Notamacropus eugenii: one gene and its partners. The protein of the gene in region 4 interacts with the protein of the main gene of each other region in a pairwise test. Links are inferred from orthologs where the notes say so. Each region holds a gene or a part of one and is shown on either strand. Other genes may lie near its edges. The genes, in order: RAD23B, TNKS2, RAD23A and USP25.

Region 1 (7,931 bases), on a different chromosome or scaffold from region 4:
CCTTTATAGTAGTTTCTAACTCAAACAGAAACTGGCCCTTACGAGATCTGCAGCCCAACTGGCCATATACCGACTTAAAAAAACCCCACACATTGACATAATTAATGTTATATTGTATTTTACTTTTGTTAAATATTTCCCAATGTATTTTAATATGGTTCAGATCCACTCCAAGTTTTGAAGGCCTGAAGTCTGCATACTGAATGGGGTTTGAAGTAATTGTAAAGGAAATATAGGGAATTTGGGGGTAAATAAATATACTATTAAAATTAACCAATCTATTTCTTTGTTATACAGATATGCATGGTGAACTCTAGAACTGATTTCCTTTCATAAAGAAGAGAAACTCAAAACAAACTAAAACAGAACTCAAAAATATAATAAAACATAAATAATGTTCATTTGTGGTTTTCTAAGTCAATATGCAGTTGCAGAGATCCCTTTCCGAATTTGACAGCATTGCTTTCAAGCACCTACACTCTCCATGAAACATGACCACCCTCTCCTATTTCAAAAAGCACTTGGCACTTCACTTATATTATCAAGTGACTTTAACTTTTCTCATACACCCTCTACTAAAGTAAAAGTTCTGAGTCCAGAGATCACATCCAAGTTTTCTCACCGCCAGCTCCACAGACAGAATGGACTTAATATTTGTTCAATTGATTTTGTTCATACCAACAACACACACAGAAATTGTTTTTCTACCTGTTGGAAAGTAAAGAAACAATTCAAGGAGATTTTAAGTGATTCTCAACTCCTTAACAGGCAGTCAGTAATTATTCCAAGAGGGAACCAGGGAAAGGAGTAAGTATTTATCAAGTATCTAGCACTCTGGTAAGCACTTTACAAAAACCAACTCCTCTGAACTTCACCACAACACTCCCAGCTAGGTGCTCTCCGACCTCCCATTTTACAGCTGAACCAAGTGAAGCAGGCAGACATTAAGCGACCTGCCTAGGCTCACACAACTAGTAAGTTTCTGAAGTCTGATTTAAACTCAGCTCCAGGCCCAGTTCACTGTATCCTAGCTACTACGTAAGACAAGTTTTTAAGGTAAAAATGTTATTTTTAAACATGAATTTGCTACTCAAAAATCCTATTAAATGTCACAATTCCAGGTTAGGAATTCCTGTACTATACTTTTATATGAGGCAGTCAACGGAGCAGTGGACAGGGTGCCAGCCTGGAGTCACAAAGTTTAGTCTTCCTGAGTTCAAATCTGGCCTCAGATGCTTACTATCAGGGTCACCCACCTAACCCTATTTGCCTCATTTTACTCATCTGAAAAATGAGGCAAGAAAAACCCAAACAGGGTCACAGAAGAGTCAGACACAACTAAACTAGGTTTCTCATGCAATGATCTAAGGACTTGGACGGGATTTTAATAAATATATAGAGCAAGACTCCATGTCCTTCCTCCTGGACCAAGAAGGGTGGCTGTCCAGTAAAAAGTCCATATTAAATGGCCACCTTTCTTCATTCAGGAAAAAATAACTTCTGCCATTAACATCAACATGAGTCACTGATTAAGCTCGTGGTCTGCCAGATGTTAAGGGGGACAGATATAAATAAGAGGCAAACTAGGGGATGAAGGAATTTCCATCAAGGAGCAGAAACAAACACAAACTGCCACGAGATCAAACAGGGAGAAGGCCCTTCCACCTGGACGTCAGGCGGGAGGCTTCCCATCTGGCACAGACCATGGCAGAGCCTAACTGGCAAACCTGCGCTCTCAGGACTGGCCCATACTTGGAATACCCTGGCAGTGACCTCAGCCCTCTTAGCTGTCACAAGCGCCCAAACTGCCACAGAAGCTCACGGCGGTGGGCACTAAAGCGGGCAACGCTTACGGTAGCTTGTTCTAAACTTTAACACGGGAGGATGAGACTTAATGCAGCTCTCCAGGGCACCAAGGGTCTGGTCTGGTCTCTCCCAACCCTGCCATTTTATTCCATGAGAGACCCACGAGGCTCTGCCCCTCGCCCGCTGGGCAGCTGGCTCAGCAGGGGTCCTGGTGCCACCAGGCACATGGCGCCGGACTCGGGGGCGTTCCTGGCCTAGGCACACCTGCGGAGATCCTCTCCCCACTGCGGATCCCGGTGAGACAGGTTCCCCAGCCTCCGTGACCGCCCTCCCACGGGCCAGGTCCTCCCGCGGCTTCCGCCCCAATCCCACCCAGACTCCCACAGCCTCGGGCTCCACCCCCAAGCTCGGCACTTCCCGAGGCTCCCCTCCCCCTCCCCGCCCTCCCCGCCCCCCGCGCAGATTCGGCCCCCCCACCCCCCCCAGGCTCCGGCCGCACTGCCCCCCGCCCGCGGCCCCTCCGAGTCCCCGGGTCCGCGCAGCCGCGCTGGCGCCCCCCGTCCGCCCCTCCTAAAGCTCTCGTGGGGCTCTCCCGCGCGTCCAGCGCCGCCCGCAGGGCCGGGCCGGGGCCGGGGCGCCCAACCGCCCCCTCCTCGAGTCCCCCCGGCCCCCCCGGGCCCCAGGGCGGGTGGGGGAGGGGGCCCGCCTCGCGGCCCGCGCTCCCGCCCCTCCCCCCGCCCGCGCGGCCCTCCCCTCCGTACCGTCTCCTCAGGGCTGATGTCGATCTTGAAGGTCTGTTGCTGGAGGGTCTTGAGAGTGATCTGCATGGTGTCGCCGCCGCCCCCGGACGCCATGGCTGCTGTGGGCTCGGTCGGCCTCTCGGGCCCGCTGGGAGGGAGGTCGAGGTGGCCGGTGGGGTTGGTCACATTCACCCTGCGGGGCGGCCTCTCCCCCGGGCCTGGGCCGCCGCCGCTCCCGCTGTCGCTTTCCCCCGGCGTGATCGGCCGCGATCGCCTTCTCCCCGAGGCGCGGGGCCGGTGGGGAGTCCGTCCTCAGCACTGCGGGCGGGTCTGGGAGGCAGTGAGTGAATCCGCTAGTTCATCAGGGCCTGGTCGCCACCATCATGACTCGCTTCGACATCCCCCCTCCCCCTCCCGAAGAAGTTGGGGGAGGGGTCAAGAGGAGGGTGTCGGGAAGCGCGCAGGCGCAGGGGGAGGCGGGCGGGTTGTGCGCACGCGCGGCACGTAGCCCCTGTTCACGCAGGTTCCGAGGCTGGGGGATGGGGGTGGGGTGGAGGAGCGGCTGCTGGAATTCGGGCTGCCGGGCTGGCACCTCGTGCTGGGGCAGCCCGCGTCCGGAGTGAGCGGCTTGCGCTTTTCGCTGCCCCGCCGCCTTTCTGTACGAAATGGTGGAGTCCGGGTGGGAGGGGGGATCCTGGTGCCCGAAGTCCGGATAGTAAAGGAGTTTCAGATTCCTCCTGGTGGCTCGCATCGCCACTTTGGCCTCCCCCGGGCGCCTGCACCATTTATCTCCCCAGTGTGAGTGGCAGGCCAGGCGGTCCTGAACTGGGGCGTGGGAGACAAGAAATAGGGCCACGGTTTGGGTTGGGAGCTAAAGTTCACTCTAGACTGCCACAGCCTCGGCTCTCCCTGCAGTCCTCCATTTTACTGAAACTCAACACGAGCCTTTCGAAATTAAATCCATCAGCAATCATTAAGCGCCGGCTGAGTGCCGGGTACTGCTTAAGCGCCACAAATACAAAGAAAAGCTCAGGTCCCGGCGGAGAGAAGGTGCGGACAACTTCTACAAAAAGGGGAACCAACTGCGTACAAAAAAAAGGTAGATGCTTAGAGCTACGCAGGATTTTAAGCGTTGACCGCGTGTTCCCCTGGAGCCTGGCGCTGACAATGTTACACAGGTGGTGTCAGTTACAACTTGTAGCATTTTACGAATGAGGAAATTGAAGGCGGCTGAGGGCGTTCAGAGGCTTGACCGAGATCGCGTGGCTATTAATGGCAAAGCCAGGTGGGGCCGCGGTTTGGTTGCTACTTTGTTACTTTCGGACTAATCAGGAATTCCCCCTTACCCTTCCAGCTTTTGTTAATTCACCTCCAAAATGAGGGGTCAATTTAGAGAATTAGTCAATCCACAAGCATTTATTAAGAACCTACTACGTGCCAGCAACTGTCCTGGGTGCTGGAGATAAAAATACAAAGAACTAAACAGGCTTTATTCGGACAAGCGTTAAGCAATATGCGATGTGCCTGGCATGGTGTTAGGCACTTGGGGATATAGGTTTAAAAAAGGAACAAAATAATCTCTACTCTAAGAGGAACTTACATCCTAATGGGGGAGTCAAATACGTGTGAGAATATATATATGGCATAAATGTACAATACTTGTAAAGTAGCTAAACATGATACAGCATTACCTAATTAAATATATACACAGCAAAAGTACAGAATATAAATACAGTTTATTTAGAGAGGAAGGGCACCAGCAAAGGAAAGGCTCGGTTTTGAAGGTGGTGCTTGATTTTAATCTCTGCCTTGGGGCAGAGGTGAGGAGGGGGTATATTTTAGGAATGGGATACAGCCGGTACAGAGGTGTGGAGAGGGGAAATGGAGTGCTTTGTGTATAGAGTGGAAGTAGTATGTAATGATGCTAGAAAGATAGGTTGGGGCCGGTACTTTAAAAGCCAAACAGAGGAGTTTATATTTGATCCTACAGGTTATAGAGAACCACTGAAGTTTGAGTAAGATCAGATCTGTGCTTAAGAAAAATCACTTTGGTAGCTCTGTGGAAGACAGATTTGGATTGGTAGAGACCTGAGTGACAGAGACCTATTAGGATGCTATTGCAATAGGCAGGCAAGAGAATAGTCAGGCCTGATCTAGGACGGTGACTGTCTTGAGTGGAGAAAAGGAGTTGTGTTAGATGTGGAATTATAAGATGTAGCAATTAAATGAATATATGGGATGAAGGAGAGTGGATAACCCTGAGGTTAGGAACCTAGAAGACTGGAAGAATGAGTACCTTTAATAGAAGTATGGGAGTTTTGGAAGAGGGATAAAAAGATTTTTTAAGAGAAGATAATGAGTTGTATTTTAGACATATCAAGTTTGAGATGTCCCTTGGACATGCAGTTTGTAATGTGCAATAGTTAGTGGGTAATTTGGAATGGAAGCTCAGGGGAGAGATTGGGACTGGACATATAGATCTGTGCCTCATTTGCATAAAAATCATCAAACCCATAGGGATTGATACAGGTCAACAAGAGAGAGTAGAGAAAGAGAAGAAACATGAGCCCAGGATACAGCCAGTAAGGGGATGTAATATGAATGATGAGCTGGCAAAGGAGACTGAAGGAGTGGTCAGATAGGTAGGAGAACTGAAAGAGAATAATTCCTTGAAACCCAAAAAGGATAGAGTATTCAGGAGAAAAGAGTAATCAATTTCAAATGCAGTGCATATATATGTGTGTGTACATATATGTACACATGTATATGGATAAAGACTGAGAAGAAATCATCAGACTTGGTAATTAAGAGATTGTTGACACTTTATGAGAGATGAGGGAGGAGTTCAGAAGTCAGACTATAAAGGCTTAAGGAGTGAGTCAGATGAGAGGAAGGGAGGAAATAAGTGCTGACTTTTTCTAGGAGTGTGACTGCACATGGAAGGAGAGATTTAGGACAATAATTTAAGATAATCTGAGAATCTAGTGAAGGATTTTTTTTAAAGGATAGTGAAGATGGGTATATTTGAAGACAGTGGTCAAGGAACCAATGGACAGGGAGAGGAAAGAGAGGTTGAAGATCAGAGGAGTGGGTTGGTTGAGGGAGCCAAAGCGTTAGCCTTGAGAGGAAGACTGTTTCATGATCAGATTCAAGGAAAAAAGATGAAAGTAAAGGCTTGTGAGATGAAGAGAGAAGGGAATTTGTGAGGATTGGTCTTCATTTTCTCAGTAAAGAGAGATAAAGTTCTCAGCCAAGAAGGTGGGGGTAGTAGAAAATATGGGAAGCTAAAGGAAAAAGAGAAAGTTTGGAATAGCTTTTGTGGGTTATAAAATCAGGGATTAAAGGGGGAATGAAAGGTACAGCAAGGTCCTTTCTAGCTGGGAGGTGGGGGGAGGGCAACGTACTCTTGTGGGGTATATTGTTAAGAACAAGAATTAATGGCAGTTTTGAGCAGTGTTCATGGAATGTTTGGCTTTAATCTTTTCTTGTGGTTTGATCAGGGCAAGAGGCAGAAATTGAAGTGCTCTGCTGTTTAAAAATACTTGGTAACAAGCCAGTTATTTCTAAGGACAAAAGTCCACAGAACAGTCAGTTGTTTGCAAGGGACAAACTCATGTAAAATGAGTGGATTGCACTAGATGATCTTTGCAGTCCCAATAAAAATTGGGAGCTATTTTTTTCTGACTGCTTGCTTTGCGCGTGCGCGCACACACACACGACAGATGAATGAGTATACAAAGGTTACATATACATAAACTGGCTAATACTGGAATATCTAGCTCAGTGATTAGAAGAGCTTTAACATTTGTAAAACCTTAAGGTGCATTATTTCAGTGGAGCCTTACAGTAGCCCTGTGAGATTGATACTAACTGTTGTATTGTCCCCACGAGCAAGGAAGGTTTGGGGAAGTTAAGCGATTTTGCCTGTGGTGAGTAAGTATCCTAGTTAGAATTCAAAGCCAGGTCCTCCTGCCTCTCCGTCCCCTCAGCTATGCTGTTAAGTTTACACCCAACAGCTTTTCACGGTTTGGAGATAGCAAGGATTTAACTGGTAGCTTATTCATATAATGTTTGTACTTTTCCCTTAATCCATAACCCTCCCCCTAAAATTGTGAAGTTTATAATTCTATCAGACATAAATGTGATTTTGAATTCTTATAGAATTCTGGCATTTTTAGATAGGTGCCAAGTCTCTGTAAACAATATTTTTCTAATAAAATACATGGTAGATTCTTTTACTCAAATGAATAGATGGATTCATTTAAAAAAAATATTGACTGATTGCCTCCTATGCTCTATGTTAACAGTGACTCTTGGTGAAGGCAGAGTTGGCAATATAACCCAATAAAAAGAGGACTGAATTTGTAGTCAGAAGACCTGGATTTGATCCCAGGTCTACTGCTCATTGTGTGTGACTTAACCTTTCTGGGCCTCACTTTCCTCACTTGTAAAATTCAAGAGTTGATTCTAAATTTGATGGTAAAAGTGCTTTTGCCAGGAGTTCTTCAGCACAGCACCCTGAGGGAGCAGGCAGCATGTGACAGCTGAGTCAAACCATTTCTACTACCATGACACCATCTCTTCTCAGACCCAAGGAGAGGCAGCTCAGAATCTGGAACCCCAAAATCCCAGGAATAACAGCATTTCCTACACTTCTAGCCTTGTTCCTGCAGCCACCATGGAACAAAACATTCCATGCATCACCAGCGACCCCACCACTAACATGCAAATAAGCTGAGACACCCAAGAATCGCAGCTCTCCTTCCTCCTGCCCCACGCTCCCCTACCAAGAGCCCATCTCCTACAGTCATTGTCCAGGAAAACAAGCCTTAGGGAGAGGAAACCTGGCCACACCTTTTGGACCCCAACCACCTCAATATCTACATAGGGCATAGAACACCTAGAGGAAAACAAGTTTTCACCACCAAACTCCTTAGCTTGTCATATGTTTCAGCATCAGAAATCAAGATGCTTTTATCAATGAAAATGACGATGCATTGCCTCCTGCTTTTTGTCCTATACTCTAACGACCACTGGGCCTTTCCATCTGACTTGCAGCTGAGCCCATCTCTATGTATTGTTTATCCTGTTATAATACGAACTGCTTGAGTTCAGGGATCATATTGTCTTCCTATTCATATCCCCACCATTTAGCATAATGCTTTGGAAATTGCAGGCATTTAATAAATGCTTCGTAATTCATTCGTTCACTAAAAATTCAGCCTTAAAACAATGCGGAATCAGACAACCTAATCCTCATTTTCTCCTCGCCTAGGCTCTACCATATTTTTACACATTTAGAATAACTTTTCTCTATGATTTCATTCACATACTGTTTTTAAAAAATGATTATCGAGAAGATGGACTTTTTAGTTGCTTTCGTCT
Region 2 (7,787 bases), on a different chromosome or scaffold from region 4:
TCAAGTTTATTCCCTTATCTTTGTTCTCACAGACACTACTCTTATCACCTCTATATGAAGGACTACAAAGGCTTCTAATTGATATCTCCTACTCCAGGCTTTCCCCTTCTAATCCATCCTCCACATAGATGCTGAATAGATCTTATTCAAAAGACAGCTGGTTTAGCAGCAGGTCACTATCCCGCTAAAAAAAAAAGCTCCAGTAGCTCCCTATAGCCCTTAGGACAAAATATATACTCTGTTTAGCATTTAAAGATCTTCAGTCTGGCTCCAGCCCACTTCTAAAACTTAATATACACTCTTAAGTTTAGCCAAAATGGCTTATTTGCTGCTCCTCACAGAGGTCACCCTCAATCAAAACACATTTATTAAGCACTTACTGTATATTATGATAAGTGCTAGAGATACAAAGGTCAAAAATTGTACCTGTGCTTTCAACTTCCATACCTTTGCATAGGCTGTCCCCCATGCCTGTAATGGGCCCCACTCCTCACCTCCAACTCTTAGAATATCAATCTTCTAATGTCAATTCAAGTTCCTTCTTCTATAAGAAGTATTTCCTGACCCACCCCTCATTACTGCTTCTCTCACAAATTACCTTGTATTTACTTATAGTGTACTGTTGTCTCCTACAGAATGCAAGATACTTGAGGACAGAAACTGCTGCTTTTCTTAATCTCCCCAGTGCTACGTACAGTACTAGGCACATGGTGGACACTTAATAAATGTTGTCTGATACAGAAAAATGAAAAGTCAGCTTTTCCATGTAAAGTGGAACTACCTTACAGATGATAAGCAAGTTATTCAAAATCCTTATTACAAAATACAAGCAAAAACATTATAAGTGTATGTATGTATGTATGTGTGTGTGTATATCCATACACATATGCTTATTAGTCATAGAGAACCACCCAACATAGATATTTACAAAATATCACTGTATCAACATTACATAGTTTATAAAATGGAGGTTACAGAATTACTCTTCTGAATGGAAAGAAAAAAATGTACAAGTTCTATTCACTATTTTAAAACTAAGGAGTTCTCATTTAGATTGAATTTACAAAATTTAAATTAAAAAAAAACTTGCATTAACCTTTACTTTTACAGACTTTTCCCAGTTCTTGTCTCCCTCCCCTTTAAATTCTTATAATCAGTAATTGGAGGGCAAATTTAGGTGTAGGGGGTTGTTGAAAGGTAACATGAGGTCTCTGGATAAAGGTGGGGGAGGAGAAACCAACATAACTACAGACATCTAGATTATATTTTTTACCCATCTTCAAAGGCTTTTTCTACTAAATGCTTTCCTATCCCACAGACTGAGTGGACTCTAAATAATCTTATTTTCATATTATTAAATCAATTTGCTACATTCCCTCAAGTCAGGAAGCAGTTGTTTTACTGTAACCTACATTGCCTAACAGAAGTTCCGGAATGCTGGGCATGCCAAAAACAGAATCCATTAAAAAAAAGCCTTAGACACAATTGTATAAAATAGGAACATCAAGTCTTTGGTGATTTCCCATTTTGATTTTCCCATACTGCCCTTTCTCTCCCATGTTTTAGCAAGAGGATTTTTAAAAAAAGGGTGGGAGTGAGAGTCAAATTTGGTTTTTGTTCAAGAAAAAGGGAAACAAGGAAACAAAAAATTAGCACAAACTTTAAATGAAACAATACATGTGAACTTTGCAAACTGTAAAGTGATACACAAATGTCAGACTTTATTACTTCTTAGCAAAGATGGGATGGGACAGGACACCTTCCCCCCCCTCCAATGAAAAGTTTAGGTAGGGCTAGTCCCAAACAAATTCTCAAGTAGACGTACTAGGGGCCCACAATTTGTCCGGAATCCTTTTGTCCCACCCACTTATCAAGCTGGGCCCTTTTCTGACTACCCCCCTTCCCCCATTCCAAATCAAAATTTCCAAGTCCAGTGTAAAAGGAGACAAGTCCAAAGGTATGCCAGCCAATCTGCTGATCTTATTGTGTATTCCCTCTGTCACTCCCCCTCCCCCCTTAAAGTAATTTCACCCTCGATTTTCTAATAGCTCCAACTGGTCCTTTCCTTTCAGTTTGCAAAATTTTTTTATTATACCTATTTTTGTAATAAATACTCCTTGAATTGAATTATTCAAGTCTTACCCCCCGTAACTACTACATGAACGCTGCTGGTTATTACCCCCATTCTCCCCGTATTATAGCGTTTGCATTAGAACTAAGGCCTTTAGTGCCTTAACCCCACAATTTAATAGTAGAAATTTCTGGTAGGACACGAGTGAACATATAGGTCGGAGGGGGGGTGGGGGTGGCCAAGAGCCTCTCTAGCCTTCAAATCACCCCAAGAGTGAGTAGGGCAGCTCGTGGTCCCCGACCCAGTCGCTTTATCAGGACAGGAAATCCCGGTGACGAATTCGGGAGGTGAAAAACAAACAAACAAAACGCCACCTACATGGTGGGTGGTGTCAAGGGCCCGCAGCTTCCCCCATCCCCCTTCTCGGGGAACCTGGGCCCAGGGTTCTGCCGAGGAGTTCCGCCTGGGGCCCGGGCGCTGGGGGTGGGGTGTGGGGCTGCAACATCCCAGACCGCCCCAGGCCCGGGGCGTGGGGGGGAGCTGTGCGCTCCACTTCCGGCCGGCGGCGGTCCCCTAAGTTAGTTACCTGCGGCGAAGTGGAGGGGGGTGGACTTCCTGCCCGCCGTGTCGCGGCTGTTCACCTTCTCCGGGGTCACCAACTTTTTGACGCGCTCCACGTCCCCGTTCCGACAAGCCTCGAACAACTCCCGGGCCGCGGGCTCTACGGCCTCCCCCGCCGAGGCCGCGCCCGCGCCGGGTCCTCCCCCGCCGGCGCAACGGCGGCCGGACATAATCGCGGCCAGCGGCGGCGGCGACGGCAGGAGGAGGAGGGCGAGGCTCCCGGGGAGAGACGTACTCAGAGTCCCAGGCTGCTCCGTTCCGCTCCGCCCCGCCGTCACCGGCCCTGGCGCAGGACCATGGTCCCCCCCCTCCCCGCAGCGATCCCTGTGCCCAGGCCCCGGACGCCTCGAGCTCCCTCGGCTGCCCAGCCGCTCAGGCAGCGCGAGTCCCTCCCGCCCCGCCCCCCGCTCCCTGAGCGGCCGCGGCGACGGTGGCTGCAAAGGCCACTCCGGCTGGCTCTGGGGACTCCGGGAGGCTCACGGGACGGCCACGGATGCGCGTGCGCAGAAGCGACTGACGCGTCAGGCAGGTTTTGCTCAGAGGGGGGAGGGGCCTACAGGGAACTAGACTAGAGGAAGGAGGCCGTTGAGGCGCAGGCGGAGAAGGTCCAGGGCCTGGCTGCCATGTTGGCTGCTGGGGCCCCTTCCGCCCACAGTGCTCGGTTAACTACTTCTGCGCATGTTCTCTAAGGGGAGATTCATTTTTAAGCCTTTTGGCCTGCCGAGAGCGCTTGGGGACCTCGGCGCGGCGCGGAGGCCTGAAGCACCTTGGGGACCCTTCCTGAGGGAAATTTCCGGTTGTTTGCCTCCCCTCCTGTCGGCCCTGCCCCCTGCCTCCCCATTTTCTTTGCTTTTAGTAGCCGATTTCTAGAAAAAAGAGAGGCCCAGCCTGATTCCCGCCGTCGTGAAGGCCCGCCCCCCTTATTACTTTGTGTTCGCTTTCTACCTGGGAGAGGGATCCCCTAAGCAGCCCGCGCTCGGCAAGCCTTAGATCTCGATTCAAGGGCGGGCCTCGGGGATTCGCTCCTCTTTTTACACGCTTTGAGTGTAAACATCCCGAGGGCTAGGACTGTCTAGTTTTTGCTTCCCAGCCCGGGGCGGTGTAATTGTGTTTGTAGCCCCTTTGAGAGGAATACAAACACTTAGAAGGTGTGGTAAGAATGAGATGAATGAATGCTCGAATCCTCTCTGGACCCCTCGATTTTTAACTTCTCTGCTCGGACGCCGCGCGGTTCGGGGGCGCTGGGCAGTTACAACAGCCTGCCGTGGTCCGCCTGTCTCGAGTCTCTGCCCTAGCCAACCCAGGAATAGCCACGTCACCCCCAAGGAGAAAATCGTCCCAAGCCCTTCCTAACCCGGCCTCCTCCCGCCGTAACAGCCTTCTTACAACATACTGCTTCGCACCTACCCTCCTATCCGGTAACACTGGCTTGTTTCTTGAACGAGACACCGTCTCTAGACTGAGTTTTAACCGCCTGACATTCTCTCTTTTCTCCTCCCTATCTCTTGCTTTCCCTGGCTTCCTTCAGGTACCAGCTAAAAATCACATGTTCCACAGAGAGCTTTTCCTCAATGCTAGTGTTTTCTCCCTTATTATTTACATCCGAGCTTCTTGAAGACAGAGACAGTGTCTTTGTAGTCCTAGCTCTTAGAACCGTGGCTGGCCGAAGGTAAACGCTTAACAAGTATTTGTTGAATAATGATAAATTCTTTAGTCGATAGTAGAAATGTGGAGAGTACAGTGAGGGAATTGTATTTCAAATCTCACCCGAGAGGTACCTTGTCCTTGGACCTTAATCCTTTTTTTTTATAAAAATGAGAATAATAGCACCCAGCTCCCTGGGGTTGTGAAAATTTTGAGAGATAATAGGTTAATCACTAATAGGTAAAGTGCTTTGCAAACTTTAAAGCTTGGCTAAGTATAATATAATAAAAAAAGAAAAAAGGGTCTAGCTGCTAAAAACCATCCCCCAGCTTGTTTCTGAAAGGACTAGGCTTGAGGGTCTTTGTTACAAGATTTAGAGTTGTAAGAGCCTTTAGAAAGTCATCCAGTCTACCCTCTCCTTTTGGAAAAGTAATTCAGGCCTACTGAGGTCTCTAAGTGCTCTAGGCCACTCTAAGACTACAGGGATCCTATAGCATGTGTATATAATGAATGCATAATACTAAGGCCAGCTGCTTGAAGATAATGTCCCTTTCTTAAACCACCCCCTCAAACTACAGGCTGCTTTTTTGTGACTTTCTTGTCTTTTTCCTTCAAGGTTCATTGTTAGCATATTTCAATTATAAAAAAGGTTGAGTAGGTGGGGAAGGACACACAATGTTATTTGTCCTAGGAACTGCCTCCTCCTCCACTCTTTGTGTTCTTGAGGAGGAAAAACAGTATAAACTTTCAGCTCCAGCTTCTAGATCAAGATGCATTAGAGTCAAATACAAATTTATTTTTTTTTAAATAAAGCATATGATGACTATTGGCATTTTTGTTGTTGAATTCATTTTGGTGGTGAGTAGAAAATTGGTCTCAAGCCTCACATACTGGCTCTAAGTGCTTTAGGTCACTCTAAGACTACAGGAATCCTATATCGTCCCCAAGGAGTTTACAAGGTAATGGATGATAGCTATCAGATTCATACTGGGACTGCTTCATTTTTATTTTTGTATTTCTAGAGTCTGGAACATAGCAGGCACTTAATGTGTTTTGACTGATTGCTAATTGATACAGTTAGAGTACTAGCCAAGACAAATGTTTTAAAAAATGATTACATAGGAAGTATAGAAAGTTCAATTAGAGATCTTCAAGCCAAGGCTAGACATCACTAGTCCACTATGTTGTAGAGAGGATTTTTGTGCAGATTTAATTTGGACTTGATGGCCTTTAAGGTCTTTTCCATCTTTGACACTCTGAATACGTGTAGAGCAATGAGAAGTGTATAGAGGAGGAAGCTGCCTTACCGGAGACATCAGATGTTAAAGCAGTTTGAGGTTAGTGAAAAGAGCTTGCTAGAACTTTAGGGATTGTTACCTAGAGAATTTATATGAACTAACAAAAAATGAAGTAACCAAAGAAGAATAATTGTAACATCCATATTATAAAAATAAAAAATTTGAGGACTTTTAATAATGAACAGAACCAGAACAATTTATATAATAGCAACACTAAAACAGTACTTTGAAAGCTGTAAGAACTATGATCAATACCATAACCATTCATGATTTCAGAGGACTGATAATGAAACATGTTATCCATTACAGTCAGTAAACATTTTTTAAGTTCTAATACGTGCCAGGCACTATGCTAAGCGCTAGGGATATAAAAAGTGGCAAGACAGTCCCTGCACCCAAGCAATTCACAATCTAATGGGGGAAACAACAAGCAAAAATTTACAAAAATCTATATACATGATAGGGAAGGGACTAGAATGAAGAGACTGGAGAGGGCTTTCTGTAAAAGACAGGATTTCAGTTGGGACTTAAAGGCAGCCAGGGGAGTTAGTAGATAGGGAGCAGGAGGGAAGAGTAGTCCAGCATGTAGGACAGCTGGAGAAAATGCCTGGAGCCTTAAGATGGCCTATCTTGCTTAAGGAACAGCCAGGAGACCAGTGTCACTGGATCAAAGAATAAATGTTAGGGAGTAGTTGTAAGAAGACATGTAGGAGGGGGCTAGGTTATAAATGCACTTGAATGCCAAACAGAAGATTTCATATTTGATCCTGGAGGTGTTAAGTGCCACTAGAGTTTATTGAGTTGGGGGTGTGTGGTGAGGGGGATTGGGAAGGTAATATGGTTAGACCTGCACCTTAGAAAAATCACTTTGGTGACTGGAGGATGGATTGCCGTGGAGAAACTTGAGACAGGTAAACTCAGTAGTAGGCTATCATATAAAGGTGATGGATTTAGGATGTAGAATGAGACATATATTTTATATGCAGCCATTTAGGGAATTTGTTTAGCTTAAATGGGAGTAGGAGAGAAAATAGATTTCTGGTTTGTTTGTTTTTTTTAGACAAGTGGGAAGACCCACAAATGTGAAATGTTGTATAAACTTTCAGATAAGGTTACTATATTATTACTTTTGCTGTTTGTTTCATCATCAATAAAACTTTTTAAAAAGAAAATTTGTAAGCGTAAATAACATCACTACTTTTCTGGTATTGCAGTGACTTCTGTAAATTTTTGTTTTGTCTCTTTTTGTTTTGTGAATTTTTTCATAGAATGTCAAATTCAGGGAGAAGTCTCAAAATCCATCTAGTGCAATATGCACCCACACAAAAAACCCCTCTACAACATAACTGGCAAGTAGCTTCACCTCCAGCAATGGAGAACCCATTACCTCCTGAGACAGTCCATTCCACTCTTGGATAGGTCTAATGGTAAGAGTTTCCTTATGTGAAGTCTAAATATACCTCTTTGCAACTTCCACCTGTTGCTCCTAGTTCTTCCCTCTGGGGCCAAACAAAACAAATCTAATCCCTCTTCCATGAGACAACCTCTAAAAATACTTGAAGATAGCTATCATGTCACCATACTCATTACTGTAATTCAATCATACTCTTGCACTCAATAACTGGTCATTTTCTTCAACAGCAATAATGAGATTTCTCAAATATATATACATGTGCACACATAAATAAAATAGCAAGCATATAAGCTAGTTTACATAAATGCTTATGTTTATTTAAATATGCATATGTTTATATATTTGTTAAAGGGGAGAAAGAACCCCTGATAATCGGCAAAAACTTCATATCCTCCTTAGTTCCTTTTCTCAGACCTTTGTGTTCTGAGACAATTGCTCCCACCTAGTGGTTTAAAAAGCACACAGACTTTTAAGGATTAGTAGAATAGAAAAGAATATGAAAGACCAAGTCATTTTCAATTATGCATAATTTGGAATTTATCTGCTAATATTAAAAAAAAAATGACCAGTGGAAGTAGTGACCTGCTCCCTATCCATGCCTCTTCCACTTGGACTTTCAATTATCTTCGCATTATTCCCTAAACCACTTATTGGCCTGCTCTATGATATAGTGAAGTGCCCTTCCCTCCCCGTGCACCCCTCCCACCCAGGTCTCCTTTGTGTATTGTCTTCCCTCACC
Region 3 (7,196 bases), on a different chromosome or scaffold from region 4:
TAAAGTTAGAACAATCCAAGGCTGCTATGAGAGTCACACTGTTCAAAGCAAAGAAGGCAAAAGTTCTGCTCTATTCTGCCCTTATCAAACCGCCTGAGAGGCAAGTAGGATGGTAAAAGAATGGGAGAACAAGCTGTGAGGAGGAGCTGAAGGAACTGAGGAAGTTTGGGGTAGAAAAGGGAACATCTGAGGCTACAAGGGAGCAGGTTAAGATCTGAAGGGCTATCCCGTGGAGAACTGCTTCTGCTTGATCTAAGGACAGAAATAAGAGCAATGGGAAGTTGCTAAGAAATAGATTAAGGCTTAATGTAAGCAAAATCTTCCTAACTAGGAGAGCTGTCCCAAAGAAGCATGAGGCTGCCTTGGGAGGTAGTGAGGTCCCCTTCACTAGGAGTCTTCAGGAGAAGCCAGGCAACCATGGATTAGAGGTGTTGTTAGAAAAGATTCTTGCTTAGGACCCAGTTGGATTCAGATGGCCTCTGAGATCCCATTCCTTCATTCAGACTCTGTGCCCTCTGATTCAGGCTCCTCAAAGGGCTGCTCACCTCTCTCTCGCCATCCTAGGGGCCCTGGATCTCTGGGAGTGGGGACAGAAGACAACAAACCCAGAGATGCATTGGAGCAGTCTCATATATGTGAGACTTGGATCAGATTCATCCTGCTGGGCTCCAAAGGGTAAAACTTAGATTGCAAAATCATCTAATTTGAGCTGGAAGGGACTTTGGAAATCATCTAGTCAACCCTCTCATTTTACAGATGAGGAAACTGAGCCCCAGGGAATGTTAAGTAATGTATACAAGTTCACATAACATAAAGTGTAAGCCATAGGACTTGAACCCAGATCCTCAGACACCAGAGCCAGTGACCTGCAGTACACTGTACAATGCACTGAATGGAAAAGGTACAAGTTGTAGGTAGGCAGATTTTGACTCAATTTAAAGAATATTTTCTAAAAACTTAGAGATGTCCAAGAATGAAATGGGCTGCCTCAGGATTTAGTTCCCTGTTACTGGAAGTCTTAAAGCAGAGGTTGGATGATAAAATGATCAGAAATGACACAGAAGGAATGTCATTTAACCCCTTTTTAGGCCTTGGCTGCCTTGTTTATAAATGAAGGAACTGGAATTGATGCCCTCTGAGGTCCCTTTCCAATACAGAGATCCTGGGAAAGCATGAGAAAAGGAAAGTCCAGAGCTCATGAGTCCCCCAACCCCAACCTGGGAAGGCCTTACCCAGGCCCAGCCTCTGGAGGTGTCCCAGCAGCTGACTCTTCTGTGGACTTCTTCTCCTCACTGGGTGCTGGCGGGGGTAGGGGCATGGCAACAATGGTGGGAGCTGGTGGGGCAGGTGTGGAGGGCTCCGGGGTGTTGGCAGCAGCAGGGGCAGAGGGCTCCGGAGGTGCCGAAGTGGCAAGCCCAGCTTTGGCCTGGGAGGGCCAAAGAGAAGATAGGTCAGAGCCTTGTTTTTATCAGCTCCAACAGAGCTGGGGGACCAGACCCCACCCTCACCAGGCCTAATCTATCTAGGACACAGATGGGCACACACCATAGTTGGAATATCTTCTAGTCTCCTCTACCCCAGGAGCCTACTGGTCCTTACCTTAGTCACCATGACGACCACAAAGTTTTTCTCATCAATCTTATAGTCTCTGATAGGGACATCGTCACTGAGGATCTTTCCTGCATAGATAAGCTTCTGTCCAGACACAGGGAAGGCATCACGACCCTTTTCTGCCTCAATCTTCTCCTTGAGCACCTTCACCTGAGGAGAAAATCACAGAATTTAGGTCAGGAAAGACCCTTAGAAAAAGAATCCAACCTCATCCTTTTACAGATAGGGAAACTGAGACCCAAAACACAAAGGATTTGTCCAAGGGTTACAAAGTGAGAGTCAAGAGATCGGGGAGGGGAAGGAAGGGTAGAGTCTTATAGACTGGGTCCTCAGAACTCTGGGGACCACAGGAGGAAAGGGGAACAGATGCCAATATGGAGAGTCGCCCAGGCTAGAAGTCAGGAGCTGGAATTTCTCATCCCAGCTCTTGCTCACTATATGAACCTAAGCAAGTCCCTTTTTTCCTGGGCTTCAGTTTCCTCATCTTTCCTATGAGCAGAGGATTTAGAGATCAGGGGATTTAGAAGGGCCCTTGGAGTCTGTAAAAGGAGGGATAATCCCTTCCCTGCCTCAGCCCGCAGTCAGTACCACAGCTGAAGCAAAGGTCCAGGATATGCAGGGCTCCCAGCGCTTCTTTGTCTGCCTGTGTCACCCTCGCCTCTCCCCCTCGTACCTCCGGTACTTGTGGGGACAGTTCTCCCCCCACTACCTACTCGGCAGTGTTGTTGGGTGGGGGGAGCTATAGCTCACTATCCAAAGTAAGTCACTGCTGTCGTCATCATCATCATCATCTTTACCTTCATCGCCCAGGGCTACCGGGGCTTCCCCAACAGAGGACCAGAGCTCTGCCAGCAGCCTCCCCCTTGTCCAAAAAGTAGCTCTGGGGGTGGCTCCCCATCCCCGCCCCCAAAGGCCCAGAGAGACAGGGTGGGCGCTGACCGCTGAAGGAGAGCGTGGTGGTAACGGGGAGAGGGGGGACTTGGGGGACCTGGAAGGGGGAGAGGGTTCAGGGAAGGGGAGGGAGGTCCGCTAATGACAGCAAGGGGGAGGGGGTGGAAGGGGCTGCGTCTGGCCCGCCCCGCGGGGAGAAGGGCGAAGGCGAGTCGGACTTGTGCTGTCCCGTCCCGGCCTCCGTCCCCGTCCCGGCCTCACCGTCTCCCCCGGCTCCATGCGGATCTTAAACGTTTGTTGCTGCAGCGTCTTCAAGGTGACGGTGACGGCCATGGCTGGGCCGGGGGGCGGCGGCAGCGACTGCTTCCGTCCGTCCGGTCCGTCCCTCACTCCGTCCGACGCGGCGGCCCCGGGACAGTAGACACACGGGAACATGCAACTCACGCCGCCGCCATCTTAGCGCCCTGAGCCACGCCGGGAACTGCTTCCCGGTCATGCGCGCCTCGTGACGAGACCGAGGAGGGAGAGGCGCGAGCGCAGCGACCCCGATCACGTGACGGGGGTCGATGAACGGAAAAAAAAGGAATTTTCTCTCCCGGTCATGCGTACTGAGGAACCACCTTGTCGCTGTCGCAGGGGCAGCACACCTCTGCCCCCCCATTCTCCCCTGGAGTTTGCGCACTAGAGGCTCCTCGTATGGTGACGTCATTGTTTGGGTGGCGTCATGTTGTCACAAAATGGCCCCAGGAGATCATAGTGTGATAGTTAGGGCTGCAAGGGACTTTACAAGTCCAACCGTTTCTTTTACAGATGAGGAAATTGAGGCCCAGAAATGCTTCAGTGACTTGTCCAAGGTCACACAGGTAGCAAACAGAAGAACAAGCCTGGTGCTGTCACCTCCAGGGCGGGGGGAGCCAGGTTTCCCCCATCCCCCATCCCCTACATTCCTACATCCCCTACACCTTCCAGCCTGTCCCCTCCCAGCAAAGTCCATATCCTGTGCTTTCAAGAAAATCCCAGTTGTTTGGGGAAATAGCCTCGCTTGGATCACCCGGTGCTACGCATCTCTTGGTCCTGAGGCTTTCACCGACTCCTCTGGGCGAAGCTCCAGACACGAACACAACATCCGGCCTCTCGCCGCTCTCCAGGAGGTCCCCTCTGTTAGGAGGTCATCACGTAGGGGAGGTCTCAGCTCAGAGTCAGAGGGTGGGGTCAGATCTCCCACCAGTGCGGACTCCTTACGTGATGGCTTCGCAGGTTACGCCACACTTCCCAAGCTAGATTTTTGTCCATCTGGGACCCAGTTCAGCATTTTATACAGTGTAGTCAACGTTTGTTGAATTCCATTGACAAGCTTAATATCAAAAAATGTAGTTGGGGGGAAAATGCAGTGGAATATCTCTCACTTCCAACTTGATAAGAACTCCCGGCTTCCTTCAAAGCTCAGGTGTACCACCTCCACAGGAAGCCTCTCTTGTTCCCCTCCCCCACTGTGAATTATCTCTAGAAATTTCTCATATTTACTTATGCAGGGATGTGCTGGTAAATTTTTAACATACTCTGCAAAAATAAAAAAGGTAGCACAACACCCTTTTAAGTTTAATTTGCATTATTAACATTTTCATCACATTTTAGAGCAGTGATATCAATAGAAATGGTGGTCACTGAAGTACATAAGAATCCCCGTAGGACACATAGTGACTTAGAAAAGCACATATTAATATTACCAGTGTTTTGTAATCTTTTTATTTATAGAAGTGTTGTGGGCTTGCAGGTTTAGTGTTCAATACATCTGGTCTACAGTATAACCAACAAACAATAAATCATGTTTGCTAATTTTCAAGGTATAAAAGCACACACTGAAATGTAAACAATCAGCGTGATTGGCTCAATAGCTGCCGTGCATCGCTGCTTATAAATGAACATGTATTCCCAGCGGAATGTAAGCTTGAGAGTTTCCAGCCTCTAGAACACTGTGGCCCTTATTGCTACTGTAGCTGTTGCTGCTGAGTTTTCTTTTAATATTGTATTTGGGGTTTTCTCGGCAGATAAAACAGGGTGAAGTGACTTGCCCAGGGTCTAGTAAGTGTGTAAGGCCAGATTTGAACGCAGGAAGATGTATCTTCCTAACTTCAGGCCAGGCATTCTATCCACTGTGCCACTGTGTAAGCCTTAATGATAGTCAAATTTCATTCTAGTTCATCTTTCTCATCCACCAGTTTGCTAAGTTCACTGAGTAAACATATTAATGAACAAGCATTTTATTAAGCAAATACCATTCGTCAAGCATCGTACTAAGTACCGGGGATATAAATACTAGTCCTGCTAGATTCTAGTAAGAGACGACATAGGGGAATAGTTGTGGCAAGGGAGGGACACTTGATTCTAGAAAGTACAAAGGGGCAATAGCCGATATAGCCTATCAGTTATGACCAGCACTAATTTTCTCAAACACACAAAATGAGAGATCTGAACTTCAGGGAGGATACAACTTAAGAGCAGGTATACAATGAGTTAAGGGACTTGTATCTTTATTCCGCTGGTCCTCTGGGATCTCTGGGGGACCTCAAATGACATTACAATAACGGAAGGAGGCTTGGAGGCCATTTCATCTATCCCTGTGCAGAGATCCCTTTACTAACAGCGCTAACAGATGGCTCACAAGCCCTAGTGAAGAGACACCCAACATGACTGTTTGTCACAAAGTAACTTCCATTCTGTGATCTTAGTTCTGAGCCCAAAAGACTTCAACCTTAATAAGTCCTCTCCTTGAAGGCCTCACCTCACCTGTCTCTTTACCCAAGCCCAACAGCCATCCTTTCCTACCCCAATCTTTTAAGGCTTGAGGATCCTCATTATCTTGTTTGTTGACCTCTTTTGGATGGGTAATCTAGATGGCACACAATGGAAACAGAGAGCTGGGCATGGAGTCATAAAGACTCAAGTTCAGATTCCCACCTCAGACTCTGTCCAGCAAGTCACTTAATCTGTGTCAGTCAACCCATCTGTAAATGAAGATAATAGCATCTACCTCCCAGGGTTGTTGTGAGGACCAAATGGGATCTGGAACACAGTAAGCACTATAAAAATGTTAGCTGTTGTCCTTTCTAGGCTCTCCTTTGGAGACCTCACCTGTCAGATCAATCATTCCTGGGGCTCTCTCTGGACTTGACTAGTCCCTGGCGCTCTCTTCTCTCTAGTATTTGCTAGCAATCTGCACAGCTTGAGGCCCAGTTATCAAGCTGGAGCCCAGTACCAAATTCTCCCAACTTCCCAATCTTGACAACAGCCACACCCTCCTTAGGCCCCTCATTCAGGGACTCAGCCCCAATATAGTTCCACTTTCATTTCCTCTATTCAAGCAACTTAATGCCTGTCATGAACAAAGCAGTCTATGCTAGACCTTGGTGATAGAAACAGCTACAATCAAGGGCTCTCAACTTCATGGTCTAACACATAAATATCTTGATCACAACACAAACTATAAAAACCAGTCCTCATCCTGTCATTCTGGCAAGAAATTAGGATAATTTCAACTCACCAAACCCTATATACATACTCTGACACAGCAATCACTGGGATTTATGTACGCCACACTAAGTGATCAAGAGGGAAAAGGGCCCATATAAATAAAGTGGGTGGTCATTATTTGGGGATGACAATTTCTGCAATTTCAGGGGGGAAGAATAGAAACTTTATGTAATAATGCAGAGTAGTACAGAGCCAGAATTCATATGCTGATGATAAAAATAACTCTAAAAGAAAAAAGCACTTTTATCAATGAAATTACCAGTGATAACTGTAGAAAACTTGGAGCAGGCTTCCCTTCAAAGAGTGGACAGACTGGTACAGAATGAATATACATTTTCAGACACTGCTATTATGTGAATTTTTTTCCCTTGACTCTGTTACCAGGGAGGGTAGAGAGCTTTGTATTGGGAGTGGTGGCTAGTGATACTGATGGGAAAGAAAATTTTAAAGACTCAATAAAAAAATAAGTTACCCAGAAGAAAGAAGTTAGGTGGTAAAGGTTCTGACAGTGTTATTATTACGTTAAATCTTACTTATAAACTCAAAACTGAATAGTTACTGTTAACAGGTCCTCCCAAAAAGCTTTCCTTCATAATCCAGTCTTTTGGCTCCTGGAGAGAGGCCATGGACCAGGATCTCTCCTGTTGTTTGGAACTCTGAGCCCTACAGCACAGGTGGGGAAAAGAAGCTGACCAGAGGCACAGAGGCCATCTTCTCTGGCCAGAGCAGCCACTAGACAGACACTTCACACTGACCAGAACCCCAGGGATCTATCTGTTCCACCCCACTAGCTTAGGGCTGGGCAGCAGTTCAGAAAACTGAGAAGCTTACACTGCTCCCCTCTCCAAGAAATCAAACACATGAGGGAGACACAAAACTTAATTTAATAGAAATTTCTTTTTTTGTTGTTCTTACATTCTCAATGTGACCAAGCAAGAACTGACAACCCCTCCCTAACCCTCCCCCCCACAACAGGGGCTCTGCCCCCACCCCTGCCCTCAGCCCAGGCAGAGGGGAAAAAAGGGAGCAAAGAGTTTGGCTTAGGCACTGTTGGCCAAACCCTAGCCCCCCTCAGTGCTATGGGATACCTAAGGGCAGGGCCAGGCTGACTGACCCCCCTCCTCCTCCTCTCTGGCTCCTGAGGATGGGGTAAAAACAGAGGA
Region 4 (7,007 bases):
ATAAGATAATGTATATAAAGCAATCTGAAAACCGTAGGGTGCTAACAGCATATAAATACAAGTAGTGGTGATAGGAGGAAGAGGAGCAGTTAATCACCACCATCATCATCACCACCAAGAGATTCCTCCCACTATAAAGAATACATTGTTAAACTCTAAACTAGAATATTGCTTAGACTAGTTATAGCCCAGTGACCTTATTCGAACCACGGATAGGTACCTGGGGTAAATGTTAGTTGTACTTTTTCTTTTTATCCATGGTGCCTCTATTTCTTTGTATTTCCCTTCTGTTCTGGGTGATTTCCTCCCTTACTGACAATCTTCCTTATTCTGTCATACTGCTTAACAGTTACTGTTAGCTAAGAGCACTCTTTGTTAAAGTAGTTGCTAACTAAAACTTAGTGTGTAGACAGAATTTGAAGTTTCAATCTTTTTTCCAATAAACTCTAATATAGTAAGATAGATACTGTGAATTATCTGAAATGGTGGCAATATTTCAATTTAACAATTCCTTCTTTTCAAAAAAGGTTCATTAAAATGGAGTTGAATTCAATCATCTCTAAGAGCTCTTCAAACTAGATATAATTTTGAATGTAGGAGTTATGAATTATAATAACATATGACATTCATGTAGGGATTTAAAGGTTTACAAAGTGCTTTAAGCAAAATATTTCATTTGAGTCTCACTATGATCCTATATGGCAAAAACCTGGAATTATTCTTGTTTTACAAGATAAGGAAATAGAGATTTAAAGGGGTCAAGGGACTTGGCAACCATGTAAACAGCTAGTATTCAAACCCAGTTCTCTCTGGATTCCAAGTCTAAAAGCTCTTTCTCCTAAACTTCTGTTAATGTGCCTTCAGATGAAATTTAAAGAGTAAAGGACGTAAATTAAGCCTGTAATTATTTCACCACATCCCATAAGGTATCTACAGTTATCTCAGGAAGCAGTAAAGTTTTAATATTAATTATATTACCAACCAATATTTTAAGATATTTATTAACTAATATTTTAAGACATTATTAACTAAGTTAATTAGCTATAATTCAAAGCTAGAAAAAAGAACTTAAGATTGATAGACACTCGGAAGACGGGAGTAATCAAGAAAACAAACAAGCTTGGGTAGAATGTCACTAAAATGGAAGAGTATTTACCTAAAGAAACAAAACAAAGCATCTGTTTTACAAATTTTTCACAGTAAACTTCAGGTCTCCTGTAATCACTAGACTAATTAAAAATTGCCTACTCGACTGTTTCTAACACAAACTAAAAAGAAATTCTAAGTCATAGTTTACTGTTCTCTCATGCAATGGTTCAAAGGCAAGATTATGAAGGCTAAATCTGACAACATGGACATCTCACATAATCCAGTACTACAAATTGAAGGTTTTGCCATTACGACTTTTTGCCTAAGTCTTTTTTAACCGGCTGCCTGCCTCAGTTTCCTCAACAGCATAATGGAGATAATAATGGCACCTACTTCCCAGGGTTATAACCAGGATGAAGTAAGTTAATATATATAAAGCTCTTGCCACATAGAAGAACTTAATAAACACTTGTTCCTTCCTTTTCCTCCATAAAAAAAAAAAAATTTGTTACTAACACTTTTAACTCTAGGAGGGCATGAACTCAAAGGGGGCAAACTGTCAAAAATGAAACAAGGTCAAACTTAAGAGACAAAAGGTTTCTATAGTATGAACTTGGCCAGAGGTTCTTCCCTTTTTCAGCCATACCTTGTAGCCTAAAGAGTACGCAAAAGAAACAAACAAAAATCTTCACACAAAGGACCCACATGACAGGGACCCTGTTATTTCTGACCTTAAAGTCCAAATGAAGTGCATAAAGGGGAATTATTCCTTCTTTTTTGAAATTTCATTAGGATAAACTTCAAAAGGGAACCTGAGAGGGACACAATAAAAACAAGCCCACAGAGGAGCGCAAGTGGCGTAACCTGCTCCACTCTAAGTACACCCCCTCAAATAAATTTTAAAAAACCTTCATTGCGCCCCCCCCCCGCCCACAAAGAGACACCCTGAATCAATCGGGTTTCCTAAGGGCGGATGGGCAGCAAGGGTCAGAAAGGAAGTTCTGGGGGCAAAGGGACAAAACAAATCAAAGAGAAAGAAGCAGCTCGCCACCCCGGGGAAGGGGAAGCGCCCCAGTCCTGCGGCGGGGCGCGGAGGGAGGACCCATGGGGAGCCCCGCTCCGAGGCCCCCCGCTCCGAGGCGCCCCGCTCCGCGGCTCCCGGCTGCGCGCTGGGGGGACGGGGGGCCTCATCCTGCGGCGCTTGGCCTCTGCCTGGCACTTCCTAAATTCTGGGTAACAGAGCGACCCGGCCGAGGGGTCAGCGGCCCAGAAAGCAGAGGGAGGGGGCCGCGGCCGCGGGGGAGGGGAAGCCGGAGTAAGTCCACAAGGCGCGCGGGGGCGGGGGCGGGGGCGCGCCCTCCAGGACCGCCCGGCGGACTCACCTTCTGGGAGGTGCTCTGCTGCAGCACATTCTGCTCCACGGTCATGGCCCCCGCAGCGGCGGCGGCTGCTCCCCCTCCTCCCCTTCCTCCTCCTCCTCCTCGTCCTGCCTCCTCCCGCGGCTGCCGGCTCCCGCTTGCAAGCTCTCGGGGTCTCCTCACTTCTGCCCTCTCCTCCCTTCCTCTTCCTCTTCCCCTTCCCCTCCGAGGACAGCTCGGCCAGGCTCGGGGTCAGGACTGCGGGCCGGGGATGAAGGAGGGAGGACGAGCCGGGGGCAGCCGGGCGAGCCCGGACTCAGCGCAGCACGCCCAGGGCGCCCCGACGAGCCGGGGCCATGGGCGAGAACGGGAAGGTGGAAGGAGAGAGAGGGCGAGCAGGAACTCCGAAGCCGAAGAGACCGCGGCGGGCGGCGGCGGCAAAGCGGAAGCCCGTCACTCTCTGGGCTGAGCTGAGCTCCGGGAGACGGGAGGGAGGGAGTGAACCGCGGGGCTGACGGACTGAAAGGAGGGAGTGGCCGGGTCCGGAATGGCGCTGTCCTCCGCCTGCCCCTCCCCTCCCCCAACGGCCGTCACCGCCGCCCCCCTCCCCTCCTCTTCCTCCGGGCCCTCTCCCAGGCTGGACGGCCTTCCTCCCGCTCCGGCCTCCCTCCTCCCCCGCCCTCCGCCCTCGGAGCTCGCATTGTGACTGCGGAGGCGGCCGCAGCCCCTCCGGACACACCCTGCGGCCCGGGCGGGCCGAGGAGTGACCCGGCTCTTCCCCCTCACCGCCCTCGAGGCCCGCAGGTTCCCCTCCCCCATGCCGGCACCCCCAGACGCAAGTCCCTGACCGGAGCCTCGCCCTGGGAGGACCCCGGCCTCGGACGGGACTCCCGCGATCGCGCCCCTGGGCCTGGCCCCCAGCCTCTTCCCTCCCTCTGTGCGTGTGTGAGCCCACGTCCCTCCTCCGGGCCTTCAGAAACTTGGTTAGGAAGCTCCTGCAGGCCGCCCTTCTTTCTAGGAATTCCACCCGAAGAAACGACTCTAGCAGGTTCAAGTGGGAATCAGGCCACCAAGGTGGGAACCCGCTTCTAAGCTGTCAGTGGTCCCTTGGCTTAACCGGGGCTGCCCCAGCTCCTCTGGCAGATACTGACAGCATGTGCTCTTCGTTTGGAATGAGACATTTTCTGCAGCTTTGGGAGGGGCAGGGAGGGAAGAGTTTGGGGGGTTGGGGTTTTTTTGCAGAATAGTGACATAACTAATTCATAACTCAGCTATACCTTAAAATGTTGCCAAATTAGGGTAACGATTTAAAAATAGTTACAGCTGTACATATGACTTCATTCTTGGCTACACATTTCGTTACCCATACATAGAAGGGGGAGGGGGCGCCAATCTGAAGGCAACAAGAAATTTCTGGCAACAAAAACAGCTTTAGCTTCACGGTCTGGTGGGGAAAATGGAGAGTTACTGACATGAGCATAAACTATGCCTATAGGAATGGAATTCTACTTATCATTGTAAATCTTAACTACAGATTAATTGGAACATTTTTTTGTTTCATTTAATGACCAAGTCAGCCAACAGATATTTATTATGTATTAGCATTATTTAAAGAGTACAGTTTTTATTTGAAGACTATTATTCAAAGTTTTACTGTAATCATATTTATGGCATTGAAGGTGATCATTTTTTTCATGGCTATTTAGACACTAATAATAAAATTTTAAAATGATGAAAACTTAAAGTGAAATATAGTGCATTATTTTTAATGTTATCTCTAATCTGATGTCTACAGGAAAAGTTGTTTATCGGAAGGATTAGGTCAGAATCTTTTGTGATAATCTCTTTGAATCTGCATTTTCACGTGTAAATAGAAATGGACTTAACTGATAAAATATTTTACAGAGAAGGAAACTGAAACCCAGAGAAATTATTTGTCCAAGGTCATACAGGAGACATCCAGGTCCCCTGACTCCCAGTCCAGCATTCAGCTATCGATGGACAAGTCACAGCATTCTGTTGTCCAGAACCTTCAAACTTTTGGGAAAACCAAATGGCCTCAAACAGAAAATAGATTCAGGGTAATATAATGCTACTACAGAAGCCAATGTCTTTTTTTTTAACTAGAAATTAGTGATAAGAATTTGGTAATAAATTCCTGCAATTTCATCTAATTCATTATTTCTTGAGCACTGGGCTTCATTTTTTTGTATCAAGTTGCTTTTAAAATTGTTCATCAAATAAAGCTCTTTCTAGCATTACCACATTTTTTCACCTGATTTATAGTAACCTTACCTTTTGGATTATGCCTTTCATATCATCATATTTTTGAAGCTTTAAAAAAACAGTAGTACTTGGGAAAATACAGATCATCAAATTCTTTCAACTGTATTACTATTTCATAATTTCAAAAGCTCATAATTTTTATAGTGACCGAAGAAAAAATATACAATTTTCTTTGTAAATGATTCATAAATAAAAGACACCACTGAACCTTTTATCCATGTTTTTATTTTCTTACTTCAGACACTTCAATCAACCTGAATTACTGGATCAAACTAGATTGCCGCAGTCAAAATACCTAGTAATGATACAGTCTGTTAACCAAGAATGTATTTGAAGTCTTTTCAGTGAAGTAGATCATGCTAGAATTTAAACTCTTCAGCCTTGTGGAGCCCAGGTTAACTTCTACACCATGATGAGAGCAGAGCTTGAACAAAATTTTTTTGAAGTGATAGATTTGGCATAATAAAAGCCAATATTTGTTTTAATTATTTACCAAAATTATCAGTAAAAGAAAAAAAGTTGATGAAAAACTATCCAGTAAAGTGTTTGAGTGCCTAAAGGATTGCTACTCTAGATCCCAGAAATTATTTCTTAGATTCTATTGTCCATAGGGTCAGAAAACCCTTGAGAGTCTGAGATGAAGTGTACCTCAATTATCATCACATAAAACTAGTTAGATTGTTGCTGAGAAAGAAATTGAATGTGTTTCTATTCAAAGCAGTATTCCTGTCTGTGATGTAGTTTAGTCAATTTCTACTTTATGCTCATAATTTGATTTCAATCAACAAGGTAGCAGTATGCAGTTAAGACAAAGGAAAGAATGTTTTCTGTTGTCATAATGGTATTATTCAGGGAGCTGAGTGTTCTAGAATATTTTCACTGAGAGCTTGGAGCAGTGTTTGAAAGGAGGGGCACCCAATTGAGATGGAGAAAGGGTAAAAACATAACAATTTAAAGTGGAAGAAATAATGATAGCTGATATTTATATAGCAATGGAAAGTTTGTCTCAAAGTCTGTGATGACAATAGAAAAACATTAAGGAGCAGATAATTAGTGAATTTGTCCACTGATGAAAGACTTCAAACTATTATGTATTCCAAGCTTTTGTTAGGATTTGAATAAAGCTTTCAGTGGTACCATTGCACTTTGTATTTTTTACTGACATTTTCAGATTGAATGTATAAAAGATCTCTGTGAAATGGAAATTTAATTCAAGCTATTATACAGGGATCCCCAAAGTCTTATTTTAGTCTTATAATAGGCTCTTGCTTTACAGAGAGTTCTTTGGAAATAAGTTATACACTGAGAAATAGATTGACCCTACCAATTGCATGTCATTGCTCTCCTCACAGACTTTCCCCAACTTAGATTTGCTCTCTCTTAATCAAATATTCCTCAGAGATCCCAGATTCTATCTTCCTTGACCTTTGTTCTGGATTGTACAGATGGTAGACCCCACCTGTCAATATGGGTAGCAATGAAAACAAGTTTCAACCTATTGGCAAATAGTCACACAAATCAGAACATGATAAAAAGCAGAGGTGTCATACTGAAGTAGAAATGGAAGCCACTTATCCATATATAAGGATTCCTGTGGCTGCATATTGACTTAGAAAAACACATTGTATTTGTAATGATTTTGTTAAATGTTTCCCAGTTCCAGTTTAATGTAATTAAAATAGTTCACACCATACTTAATGCTGCAGACAGCATGTTTGACCCTCCTGGAACAGGATTGTATATTATTTAATCCTCTTCTCACCTCCAGAGAGCACTGGTTCAGCATATGCCAGTTCCAGACATTCCATTCCAAGCTTCTCAGAAACTCTCCAGTGGGGGGTAATCCAGAATTAGATTTGAAATCTGACCACCTGGATCTGTTTAATTCCGTAAACATACTTCCAAGGCTACTTTACTGCAAAGCTCTCACCCTTTAGTACTAGCCACTCTGGGGATTACTTAAGACTAGAGGAGTTCAGAGCAACATTTTACCAATCTATGTATTGGATCAAATATGCTTCTGAGCCATATGGACGAGCATAGACAGTTTCCTCGGATTTGATGGTTAAAGCCTCTGCAACTAGTTTCTTGTTACTCCTTGGCTTTTTTTCTCAGGAAATTATAACTTTTAGGGAGATGGACCAAGGGACTTCTTATACTCCATGAAATCGTAGCAACTCTTTGGAAAGTCAGATAGAGAAGAAAGGTTTTATTTCACTTGTTTTTACCCAAACCTCCTTGAGACCAGTGACAGTGATTTTACTAGCATAGAGC

The links.
Region 1: the proteins of USP25 (region 4) and RAD23B interact in binary tests that used the Homo sapiens proteins (3 or more experiments, as listed by UniProt). The link is inferred for Notamacropus eugenii from reciprocal best matches to the Homo sapiens genes USP25 and RAD23B.
Region 2: the proteins of USP25 (region 4) and TNKS2 interact in a two-hybrid assay, tested with the Homo sapiens proteins (2 studies listed by BioGRID and IntAct). The link is inferred for Notamacropus eugenii from reciprocal best matches to the Homo sapiens genes USP25 and TNKS2.
Region 3: the proteins of USP25 (region 4) and RAD23A interact in binary tests that used the Homo sapiens proteins (3 or more experiments, as listed by UniProt). The link is inferred for Notamacropus eugenii from reciprocal best matches to the Homo sapiens genes USP25 and RAD23A.

The regions. Positions count from the first base shown.
Region 1 is NC_092872.1:21,550,764-21,558,694, forward strand, and holds the start of RAD23B (UV excision repair protein RAD23 homolog B), read right to left. Parts: upstream 3,020-7,931; 5' UTR 2,661-3,019; coding exon 2,568-2,660; intron 2,103-2,567; exon of another isoform or gene 1,796-2,102; intron 1-1,795. UniProt on the Homo sapiens protein: Multiubiquitin chain receptor involved in modulation of proteasomal degradation. Binds to polyubiquitin chains.
Region 2 is NC_092872.1:208,564,549-208,572,335, reverse strand, and holds the start of TNKS2 (poly [ADP-ribose] polymerase tankyrase-2), read right to left. Parts: upstream 3,019-7,787; 5' UTR 2,863-3,018; coding exon 2,658-2,862; intron 1-2,657. UniProt on the Homo sapiens protein: Poly-ADP-ribosyltransferase involved in various processes such as Wnt signaling pathway, telomere length and vesicle trafficking.
Region 3 is NC_092875.1:77,924,103-77,931,298, forward strand, and holds the start of RAD23A (UV excision repair protein RAD23 homolog A), read right to left. Parts: upstream 3,001-7,196; 5' UTR 2,938-3,000; coding exon 2,764-2,937; intron 1,762-2,763; coding exon 1,600-1,761; intron 1,427-1,599; coding exon 1,233-1,426; intron 1-1,232. UniProt on the Homo sapiens protein: Multiubiquitin chain receptor involved in modulation of proteasomal degradation. Binds to 'Lys-48'-linked polyubiquitin chains in a length-dependent manner and with a lower affinity to 'Lys-63'-linked polyubiquitin chains.
Region 4 is NC_092876.1:411,068,780-411,075,786, reverse strand, and holds the start of USP25 (ubiquitin carboxyl-terminal hydrolase 25), read right to left. Parts: upstream 3,013-7,007; 5' UTR 2,517-3,012; coding exon 2,472-2,516; intron 1-2,471. UniProt on the Homo sapiens protein: Deubiquitinating enzyme that hydrolyzes ubiquitin moieties conjugated to substrates and thus, functions in various biological processes including inflammation and immune response.